2 linked regions of the Rattus norvegicus genome follow. The protein of the gene in region 1 purifies or fractionates together with the protein of each later gene. This does not show direct contact. Links are inferred from orthologs where the notes say so. Each region holds a gene or a part of one and is shown in the gene's direction. Other genes may lie near its edges.

What was found.
Region 2: the proteins of Fbxw11 (region 1) and Hnrnpu purify together in Homo sapiens (affinity purification with mass spectrometry; 5 studies listed by BioGRID and IntAct, counting the BioPlex papers as one, with this or other methods). This does not show direct contact. The link is inferred for Rattus norvegicus from reciprocal best matches to the Homo sapiens genes FBXW11 and HNRNPU.

What each region holds. Positions count from the first base shown.
Region 1 is NC_086028.1:17,735,088-17,740,930, forward strand, and holds the start of Fbxw11 (F-box/WD repeat-containing protein 11), read left to right. Parts: upstream 1-2,109; 5' UTR 2,110-2,253; coding exon 2,254-2,298; intron 2,299-5,843.
Region 2 is NC_086031.1:92,615,022-92,620,914, reverse strand, and holds the start of Hnrnpu (heterogeneous nuclear ribonucleoprotein U), read left to right. Parts: upstream 1-2,334; 5' UTR 2,335-2,501; coding exon 2,502-3,114; intron 3,115-3,925; coding exon 3,926-4,037; intron 4,038-4,125; coding exon 4,126-4,199; intron 4,200-5,893. UniProt on the Homo sapiens protein: DNA- and RNA-binding protein involved in several cellular processes such as nuclear chromatin organization, telomere-length regulation, transcription, mRNA alternative splicing and stability, Xist-mediated transcriptional silencing and mitotic cell progression.

The sequences.
Region 1 (5,843 bases):
AAGTTCATACTCATCCTGTGCTCCCCTACATGCTATCTCATATGAAAGGTACTGACAACTTCAAGGTCTTGGTTGGCTGTTAAATTGGTGAACTCCAATAAACTAGTCTTTCGGTATTCATAGAACTTCCCACACTTGCTATGGGCTTGGACATGACTTGCTTTGACCAGTGCAGCAATCAGAAAGCTTGATAACCATTTGCTGATGGGTCCTGTCCTGTTTTGAACCCACCTTCCAGAAGCTTGAGAGGCTCCAGAAGATGAGATATCATTTTGAAGGTGTTCCCAGCTGATTAAAGCCCCATGTGTAACCTCAGCTTACATCACATTGGTCCAGATGAGCTTGGTTAATTTACATAATTGTATAAAATAATAAGCCATTGTTATTCTAAGCCACCACACCTTGGGATGGAGGATTATGTTGCAATAGGTAACTGAAACAGAGGTCATTTAACCTAACCTCATTACGCTACTGACTGTCCCAAACCCAGAAAGGGAGGAGAGTTTGGGGAAATCCAGACAGCAAGGTATTGGCAGTAACTCTAATTCTGGGCTTTTCCCAGGTGTTTTTCTTTCAATCTCTTGGTGAAAGCCACTAGATAAAGATTCTAACATTTCAGACTCTAACTGCAGGGAATTTATACTGTGGTTTAGATGCATACAGATTACTGTAATGCCTTGCTTGCTCTTTGGAAATGGGAAGAGTTCTAAGTCATCCACTTTACAGGGGCAAAGAATTGAAACACACTTGAGAAGCAGGAAAGCTTCTCAAGTCACTGCTACTGTGAAGTGGGTTGGGTACAATGAGCCAGGCCCTCGAGATACACGATAATAGCCAGAGCTTGGTTTCTACAGCCAGATCTCCAGTAAAACATAAACAACTTCACAGACCATTAACATTAGACAAGGCCACAGAACGGCCTTATCTTATGGATCAAGACAAAAACAAGACCACTCCATAATTACTCGTGAACACAGATAAAACATGAACATTGTCTAAGCCCCTGACACACGGCTACAAGAGGCTGTCATCAATTACTGGATTAGTTTCAATCTAATATAACTTCCCATAGATAAGGTGTCCAACCTTATTACCCCCACTTCCTGGCAGTATGCGCTCCAGAGCCCCTTCAAATCCTTTTCTACATTACCTAATGTCTCTTACTGAGACGTCCATGATTCATCGTGGTGCATGTTCTCTTCTAGTTCAGCTAAAATAAACCCACCTTGTTTAACTACAGCGTATTCCTGGGGGTTTTTGGTTTGAGGGTACTGACAACTTGGAGGGCACACAGAGTTAAGAGGAAGAGTTCACTGGAAGTCTCTAGATGTGTTTCTTCACAGCATTTCTAACTCTTGGTGAATGTCTGCTGTCTTCCCATTAGAATTAAGCTTCACGAGAACAGAGGTCTCGCCTGTCATTTCCAGAGCTTAGGGCAGTACTAGTAGCAACGGAATGCTTAAAAATGTCTTCAAAATGATCAGCTTCTTTCTCATGGCTCAGCTACTTCCAGTGTAGCAGCTCTCCATACATCTGTTTCCCAACTCAAGCCTCCAAACTTTTCCTCTTGAGATGTCCATCTTCCCTTGGTTGGATCTTCGGGCTCACAGACCCCTCCCACACCTCCTGGTGCAACCTCGGACCCACCTGTCTCCACCATCTGTCCCTACCAAGTGTAATACACCGGGCGGCCGCGCAAGCACCTAGACGACCAGTGGGCACTGCAGACAACTACTGCGCATGTGCGGAAATCGGTCGCACCGCAAAGATCTCAGACAAGTGAGGAGTTGCCTCGGAGTTTCCGTCCGGGTCCGGGCAGCCACCCGCTGCCAGGAAGTCTGGAACGACCAACCGGAAGGAGACCGCGCGCGCGAGGATTTCTGGGACAAGTAGTCGCGGCGCTCGCGAGGCCCTATCCCGAGCAAGTCCTAGATACTCCAGATCTGCATGTCCCCGCACTCCCAGCCCTGCCCTCCCCTAGGTGCTCTCTCCCGTGGCGGAACCCTGGCAGAGTGGCCCGACGGCTTCTTGTTCCCATAAGGCTTAGCGATCCGCCGCGGTTGTTGGGAGTTGTAGTCTTCGCCGTGCGTCCTGCGTCCGCCGAGGGGGAGGGCGGAGCTGCCGGCGGCCCGGGCGGGCTGGCAGCTAGAGTGGGTGCCAGAGCTGCCTCCGCCGCCGCCGCTGCCACCGCCTCCTCCGCCCGGGCCGTTCGCTGCTGAGCGGAGAGAGCGAGGCGGGGCCGCCGGGGCCGCCATGGAGCCCGACTCGGTGATTGAAGACAAGACCATCGAGCTCATGGTGAGTGCGGCCCGCTGGCCTTCAGTTCTTCCGGCCGGCCGGCGGCCCGGGGGCCTGCCCACCTCGGCGTCCGCGCCAGGCCAGCCCTCGTTCCCCGTCGCCTGGGCCCGGCCGGCCCCCTGCTACGGCTCGCTGCTGACGCCTCGCGCTCTTGGGCCGGCCCGGCCTCCGCTCCCCGCGAACTCCCCCACCCCCTCCCCGCTCCTTGCCGGGCTCCGACCAGTCTCGGGCGCCCCTGCCTCGCTCCTGCCGGAGCCACCGCTCACTCTCGCCTTGCCATCACACTGTCTTTTTAGAAGGGGATTTCTTTTTCCCTTCCCTGGATTCCTCTGCCAGGCCTGCATCGCGCTTCCCAGCCCCGCTCAAGCCGAGGGTGATGGTGGTGGGAGGTTGTCCGAGACCAGTTGGAGCCGCTTCGGCCTCCGTAACCTAGGCTTAGGGGGTGGGGTGGCGGTGGGTCTCAGCACCCTCACCCCAAGCTACCGCTGTGTGGATGCCAGGATAGGCCCTTCAGGACTGGGATGTTGGGCATGCCCACGAGTCTGAGGCTGTAGGGGATAAGGGGCCTCTTTTCCGAGCCCCTGCGGTGTCAGGCTTCTTGGACAAAGGGTTTCCTACCCTGCCGTGAAGGATGTTTGTATAGCAGGGCCCTAGGTACTCAGAATTCCATCCCCCAGAAAAGGAAAACCATAACTTTATCATTTGGGAAATGAGAGGGGAGGGAGAAGAGGTCGCCTTCATCACTGCCACCCTCTTTTCTTTTAATAATAAAAAGCGGGACGGTGTGTGTGTGGGGGTGTTCTTGACCCACCGAGAAGCAGCGATCCCTTTACTGTTAGAAACCCTTGGTAGCCAGGTTGGTCAGGTCTTCCCGGACACCCCTAACCCATTTCTGACCTCAGACTTGGTGCTAGAAAGGTTTTTGGAAACAGGGCTGTGAGTGAATGGCTGGGAAAGTGAAGGATTTGCTTATTGGTGGAAGAAATAAAGTATGGCTGGTAGTACCTGCCAGTTTGAACGTGAGGGAAATCAAACTGGGCCCAGGAGAGTTGGGGACATAAGAAAGGCTTCTTCCTGTGAAAACCTTGACAGTTTCTTTGTATCTCTACTAATATCGTAACAACTAGTATCTGCCGCACAGTACTGAGGAAAGGTGAACGATCTACTGAACTTAGCAATGTGTTTTCCTCGTCAGAGTTTCTCCAGTGTGAAATGCTTATTGAGTCAGTGATTCCACTGGGTAGGGTTGGTGACATCAGAGCCACTTCCCCCATTTAGTGCTATAAATAATAAATGGTGATACTGAAAGTCTGTTGGATAGCCCATGGTTTTTGTGGATGATGTTGTCCAGGGAGCTAAGGTACACGTTTAAAATGGAAGTAATAGTAGCATAACTACAGAGTCTCATGTCTGCTGGACTCAGCACAATGTGCAGAACTGGATGGTTGAAAAATCAAACCTGGAAGTTTCTGGGGTGTGTGTGTGTGTGTGTGTGTGTGTGTGTGTGTGTGTGTGTTCACAGGGATTCTGTCACTTTATCTTCAGGTTCTGAGGACCTTTTTTCTTTTTCAGCATCCAATTGTCGGTTGTAACAGTTTGGGAAACTTTAGTAGTCCGTTATTTTGACAAAATGTCTTTAAAACGTGCCTTATGTATTAATGTGAATTCACACGTGCACCACAGTGGGCCTGTGGAGGTCAGAGGACCATGTTGTAAAGATTCTCTTCTGCTTTTACCTGGGTTCTGGGACTTGAACTCATTTCGTTCTGCATGTATGATCACGTGTCTTTGGTTGAGCCATCCTGATGACCTCTTTTTTGGCAAAGTGTCAAAGTATCTTCATGTATGAAGATACATGTTCCATCTTCTTAAAGACAAAACAGTATATCTGCTTTCATAATGACCAGTGCTTCATATGAAACATATTCACTTAAAACAACCAAAATGTCTTCTTTTTCAGGAGAGTTAGAAGAAATACAGTGTAATTAACCTCAGGCATGGTCTTTTAGCATATGACTAAAGAAATATTCTGGCCCACACTTACTGGTTTTCTAAGCTTATAACTGTTTTGTTTTGAGTAACTGTTAAGGTGCTGGGGTGCACCTTAGTGGTAGAGCACATGCTTCCTTAGTGTCCATAAAATCCTCATGGCTGGGTTAGACTGTGTGATATTGTTTGCCCTTACATTGAAGAGATGTCACCTAATGAAGACATAAAAGGGATTTAATGTAGGATTCTTAGAAATGTAATAAAAAAATGTGCCAGGCATGGTGGCACATGCTTTTAATCCCAGTTCTCAGGAAGCAGAGACAGGTGAATCTCTGTGAGTTAGTCAGCCTGGTCTACAAAGTGAGTTCCAGGACAACCAGAACTACACAGAGAAACCCTGTCTCTCAAAACCTAAACAAATAAATGAAATCCCCCAAACCAACCAAAACAAAGACCAAACAAACAAAAAAACCACAACCAACCAAAAGTCAGTCTCAAACCCCCTAAAGATTGTAGTGCCGAGGCCTGCATTGCTGGATCTGATTTACTGTCTATGCGTATGGCTCGTTGCTTGAGTCATTTATAAGGTGTGCAGCTACAGTTTTTCCAAATCGTTGGTACCTGTTTCTCACTATGATCAGTTTCAATTATAGTCAACATACCCTACTGTGTTATATTTTAAAATACTACTTTGAGAATGACTTCGTGTTGGTTGTGGAATACCAGTACACTACACCTGTTTATTATAGTATACACTTTGCTTCTGTCCCTAGCAATCCTAGGGGATAGTTGGAGGAGAAAGATGGTGGGTGACAGCGGAATAGTTAAGTTTAAAAATCCAGGTGTCCCCTTGGTGACTACTTGAGGCCTGGACTACCAAAGGTGCGTCTGTGTCTAGGACTCTTAACAGAAACCTCATATGGGCTCTCTGTCTCCCCACTTTCCTCCTTTGTCTGCTCTGTCCTCTCTTTACTCCTCCCTTTCCTTATCGTTCTCCCTCCTTTTTCTTCTTCTTAACATGTTCTCTTTTTCTCCAGCTCCCTGTCCTCTTGCAGGGACTCTTGTAGCCCAGGATGGCCTGGAACTTTGTAGCTGAAGCTGGTCTTCAATCTCCTTTCCTCTACCTCCCAGGTGCTGGGATTATGGTGCCACCATCCTCTTGAATGAACTCTTGAAAGAGACAATGACTTTATAGTTGCTGATAGTGAATAATTTAATTGTCTTGTGGCTTTCATGGGCCAACTTTGTGGACCTGTGTTCTAAACGTTTCTGCAACAATCAGCTTTATTATGAGTGAGCTAGAACAGTGAGCTAAACAGTGACCCTTTTTGGAAATATTCAGAGCTCACCAGGCTGTGTGTCTGGTTGGTCGGATTTCAGTGGAAAGAATGCAAACTTCATTCATTATGCATCGCACTGAGGTGGGAGCATGAGTTGATGTACAGGTATTCCTTAGGAAGCTGCAGATTGACAGACAGGTGGCCAGTTCCTCCCTGAGAGGACAGCAAAAAGCTGCAACAGTTTAAGAACACAGGCCAACAGTCAAAGATGCTAGC
Region 2 (5,893 bases), on another chromosome or scaffold:
GTCACCACCACCTCCATTAACTGGAGAATTACCAGACACTACTATTTCATTGATTCCAACTCATAATTTCATAAATATTGATATTTCTTGTTTACTCTCGATGCCATAGTTTTAAGATAAAATGTTTTTTTTTTGGTTCTTTTTTTCCGGAGCTGGGGATCGAACCCAGGGCCTTGCACTTCCTAGGCAAGCGCTCTACCACTGAGCTAAATCCCCAACCCCGATAAAATGTTTTAAAAAAAGTTTTTGATGCATGTCTTGATGCATGTACATCTGCATGCCAGAAGAGAGCATCAGATTTCTTTATAGATGGTTGTGAGCCACCATGTGGTTGCTGAGAATTGAACTCAGGACCTCTGGAAGAATAGCTAGTATTATTAACTGCTGAGCCATCTCACCAGCCCTCAGATAAAATGCTTTCTAAAAATGGTTGCAGCAGGGAGCAGTGGTGCATGCTTTTAATTCCAGTATACAGGAGGCATAGACAGGAGGCCCTCAGCCAGCCTTGGCTAGAGACCCTTAAAAAAAAGCAAATAGGGGCTGGGGATTTAGCTCAGTGGTAGAGCGCTTACCTAGGAAGCACAAGGCCCTGGGTTCGGTCCCCAGCTCCGAAAAAAAGAACCAAAAAAAAAAAAAAAAAGCAAATAACAAATCATTTTATTAATTGGTTAAATTATATTGGACAGGTAATAGGTTTCATTTCTGTACATCTACGTTTCAGGTGAACAGGCAGAATACAGGGACCACAGGTTTACTGTCAGAGTACCTACTGGTATAGCTTAACATTTTGGTGTCCGTGGTTTTTGTAGAGACAGCCTATCAGGTATCTCACATTGGCTTTGAACTCCTTCTGTAGCCAAGGATGACACTGCATTTTATTTACTGATTTATTGATTTTGTTTTGTTTTTTGTTTTGTTTTCTTCAAGACAGGGTTTTTTTGTGTGTGTGTGTGTAGCTCTGGCTGTCCTGGAACTAGTGGCCTTGGACTCAAGAGGTCTGCCTGTGCCTCCTGAGTGTTGGAGCCAAACTTGTGTGCCACCACCAGTGGCCTGTCTGATACTGAATTCTTGATCATCTTGCCTGTATCTCTCAAGTGTTGGAATTATACACATGTACCACCAAACCTAGCTTGGGTTCAGTCTGCACAGGAAGCCCCCGTGTAGAAATAAAATTCTATATGCTTCAAGAACACAACATATTTAATAAGAGAAAAACAGATAGTTTAGTTTTATTCCTATTTTTTGAGATAGGATCTGGTATGTAGCCCAAGGTAGCCTAGAATTTACTAAGTAGCCCTGGCTTTTAACTCTTGATATGTCTGCCTCATTCTGCCAAGTGATAGGACTACAGGTAATTTTTTTTTTTTTTTAACTAAAACCCAGCCTTTTGTTATTACCAGTTTGTAGGCAACTTAGCAGGTATACAAACATGTTTATAGTGTCTGAAAAAACAGGGAGAAGATCAAAGTGAATAATCTAGCTGGGTGTTGTCCTACTCATCTGTAATTACAGGATCTCAAAACTGGTGGACTAGATCTGCAGGGACAGACTGTCCTGCAAGAGGCCTGTCTTTACAGTAAGTACATAGAGGGGAAACTTCCATGCAAATCTAAGGCTTTCTTAAGGGTCAGTAGTGCACAAGGCCGGCTTTATGCGCTGTGGCGGGCGCACGGAGCAGCACAACAAGCCTCTTTCCCAGACTTTGCACCGCTGGTTGGGGAAGAGACAAAAGAAAGGCTCTGGCCTCGCCCTTGCGGAACGTAAAATAAGTCCGACTGGCAAGGCACGACTAGTAAAATTTAAACCGCAATTAAGTGGAGGAAAAACTAAACAACAAAAAACCTCTGCATAACAATCGCCTACATGTGTTCTACAGAGAAGCAGTGGAAACTTGAAGGTTTTAAACCTAGAGCCGGAGGGACAGACCCAAAAAACAAAACAAAACAAAAAAAAAACCCCAAAACCTAAACGAAGATGGAAGAAAGGAGGCTGTTCTCGAGTGGGAAATGCAAGGTGAGGACTGAAGGCGGATGGAGGAGAGCGTCCTCCAGGATACAGAAGACAGAGCGCCGATGGAGCGCGGCGACCCAAGAGCCGGAAAGGCCGGCGGCCACTGCGGCGGGTCCGTTAAACCGAAAGGCCGCTTCCAGAGCCTCCATTTGCTCGGCCCGGCCCAGCGCGGAGGTCGCGCCGTGGGGGCGGGGCGGGGCCTGCGCGCGCAGTCGCCCTAGCGGGCCTCGCCTCGGCAGGGGGCGGGGCGCCTATATTACGTGCGCGGCGCCGCCCCTGCGAGAGGACGTTGCGTGCTCGCTCGCGCCAGGCGAGTCTCCGCGTCTTGCCTCGCGAACTCGGTGAAAGGAATTGGCGCCGTTCGACACCAGGCGGGTCCGTTCTGCAGCAGCACTCAGCTATCTCCAGCAGCAGCCGCCGCCCGGGCCGACCAGCAGCCGCCGCCACAGGCCGAGGGAGCCAGCAGTCAGCGGTGAACCCGGGCCCTCACCATGAGTTCTTCGCCTGTTAATGTCAAGAAGCTGAAGGTGTCGGAGCTGAAGGAGGAGCTCAAGAAGCGGCGCCTCTCAGACAAGGGCCTCAAGGCCGATCTCATGGATCGACTCCAGGCCGCGCTGGACAACGAGGCAGGAGGCCGCCCCGCCATGGAGCCCGGGAACGGCAGCCTCGACCTGGGTGGCGATGCGGCCGGGCGCTCGGGAGCAGGCCTAGAGCAGGAGGCCGCGGCCGGCGCCGAAGACGATGAGGAGGAGGAGGGCATTGCCGCTCTGGACGGCGACCAGATGGAGCTGGGCGAGGAGAACGGGGCGGCGGGGGCGGCTGACGCGGGCGCGATGGAGGAGGAGGAGGCGGCGTCGGAAGACGAGAACGGCGACGACCAGGGCTTCCAGGAGGGGGAGGACGAGCTCGGCGACGAAGAGGAGGGCGCGGGCGACGAGAACGGCCACGGGGAGCAGCAGTCCCAACCGCCGGCGGCGGCGCAGCAGGCTTCTCAGCAGCGCGGGCCTGGCAAGGAGGCCGCGGGGAAAAGCAGCGGCCCCACCTCGCTCTTCGCGGTGACGGTGGCGCCGCCAGGGGCGAGGCAGGGCCAACAGCAGGCGGGAGGTAAGAAGGCGGAAGGTGGCGGGTGAGTGTTGCGTTGTGGGTGCGCGCGGCTGTGGGGACCGTGCCCCAGGCCTGCTGGGGCCCCTAGGGGCGAGCGCCGCGGGAGGTGGGGGCGGGGAGCCCCGGGGCCGCGGAGAGGTTCTCGCCATGCCGGCGGCGCCTCCATTATGTATGTCGGGCGCCGGGGGGAGCTGCAGCTGCTGCGGTGGGGGGGGGAGGAGGAGCCGAGGCGGGCAGGAGCGCCGGCCGCTGGGGCGCTGTGTGCGCGCGGTTCGGGCACATGTGGGGGGGGAGGGGAAAAGCCCGAAGGTCCCGGAGCGGGCGGGCTTTGGCGGCTCTGCGCAGCGGTATTGTGCAAGGAGCACAGGGGCTCGGTGTGACGTCACTTCCGGCGGGAGGCGCGGGGAGCGGGGCGGAAGCTCAGTACAATGCGGCGGCGGGGCACGCGGGCTCGGGTGGGGGAGGGGAGGTGGGCCCACGCTACCCCTCCCTCTCGCTTGAGCGCCGCGCACGTGGGCCCGGGCGGTGTCGCGCTTTTTTTTTTTTTAATTTTTTTGAACTATTTTAAAAATGCTTTCTGGAAGGTTGCGGTAGGCTGGCAAAATCCATAACGTCTTTAGACTGCGTCACTGTCTCCAGTCCAATTCCAGACTTTTTTTTCCTTTAAATTCTCATTTGTGGTTTAAAAAGTCACAGAACCAGTCTGAAAAGAAAATCAGTAACAGCTCTTGAGGCTTGAAACAGGAAAAGGTGCTTTCCCCCATTTAGTTTTCAGCCTGGTACTTTAAGGCCGTGTTCTGTGTCGTTATAGGAGACGGCAAAACAGAACAGAAAGCTGGAGATAAAAAGAGAGGTGTTAAAAGACCCCGGGAAGATCATGGCCGAGGATATTTTGAGTACATTGAAGAAAACAAGTACAGCAGGTAGAGAATCCTAACCTAGTTTTCACTTGTCACCCATTCTTTATATGTGGTGGGAAAAGTTTTATCAGGAGACAATTCTGTCTTTCAGAGCCAAGTCTCCTCAGCCACCTGTTGAAGAAGAAGACGAACACTTCGATGACACAGTGGTTTGTCTTGATACTTGTAAGTGAGGCGGACTTTCCCGCTCTTTACTCGTTTTCAAGTGCAGTGTTATTTTTTTGGTTTTAAGTGTTAGGAAAGATGTGTGTTGATCTTAAAGTGCAGAAAACCAGAACTTTGTTTTAAAGCAGGAAGGTAGTGGCTTATGCTAAGGCCATAACCGTTTAATATTAATACCACTTCATTTGTATTGATTTATCAAGCTCTAGTGATTGGTAATAATAGTTTTATGAATTGGAACTTCTCAGTACTTAGGGATGTAAAACTAAATAATTTTCGTTTAGCTACCAGGAACTTGTATTTTAAAAATCTGCCTGTAACTTGTCCTTAGATTATATAGTTTAATCTTTTCTCTTGTGGAACTATATTAAGTGAGCTAAATGGGGGTAGCTGAATACTTACTAATGATCTTCCCATTAGCACACAAGTGTATTCCCTATTCTAAGGATTGTAATATTACCTTTCAATAACTGCTCTTTTGTTCTCAATTCCAGTTCAGTAGCTGCTGCTTTAACATAAGTTGATTTCTTCCAAAGACCTGGGGCAGCAGCAGTGGGCTATCTGAGCCACTAGCTTTCTTCAGCAGCGAATGGTATCAATGGCAGCGCTGTAAATATGCTACTTTACCCAGCTGGGTTGCAATTGAATATGAGGAAGTATTGCAAACCATGAAATGGGCTTTAGCTGTCAGATTTGTATTTTTATCCTTTAAAAAAATTCGACTAGTTTAGTATTTAATAACATCTTTTGTGAGCAGAACAAAAAATACAAATAAGTGTGTAGTTACAGGGCCTCACTTGATGGAAGTTAAGGGTTAAAAGCTTGGGTTCTCATGTTTCCCTGTACAAATCGTGTTCAGAGCCCTGAGAGTTAATTATGTAAAACTTGGCTGGTTTCTAACCACATACCTTTTATAGTCAATTACATCTTGAAAAGAAGTTTTGTTCTTTACTGAAATATAAAATACTTTGGAATTCACAAGTAGCTATAGGTATGGTTCAAGAGGTTAGTTAACATTGTGACTTAAAGGAGTTTTGGATCCCGTCAGCTAATATTTATCTTAAGTAAATTCTAATTGTATCAGCAGTCAGCAGGAGTTTTAAAGCACAAAGCTTAAGGAAAGCATCTAGATGAGGAGAGATCTGTGGATCCCTGAAATCAACCGCTGTCTAAGTGAACATTAGTGAGAACTGTGAAAAGCTGCCAGTTAATGAGCTCTAGTCACCCAAAGATAGCTAGGTTAAAGACTGGATTTGTATAATCCAGGCAATAGTTAATTCCTAGTCGTTGTGACACCTTTCCAGGTTAGGTAAAAGAAACTCAAAGGGCTACACGTTAACACTTAGACTGCCAGGTTTATGGGTTCAAGCTGACATAGTGACAGGTTTTCAGAATTAAGGCTCTGGAACCCTGACGTTGGTTTACAAAGCATGGAATCAGCAGCTCTCAAATATGTGGTGGCTTCCCTTCAGTTTTTAATTGTCACTGGTAATTGTACCTGGCTCTGGCATGCTTCCCTTTCATTTCCTGCTGTCCTCTACTGCTTGCCTCTAAAACAAGGTAAAGAGCAGAGCAGGTATGTATTAATGTTGCGTTGTCTAAATCAGCTAAAACGTACTTAAAGCACTTCAATTTTGACTTTAATTGGCGGTTGACCTTTTAGTTACATGGTCAAGGAAGGCTGACTTGGGGGGGAG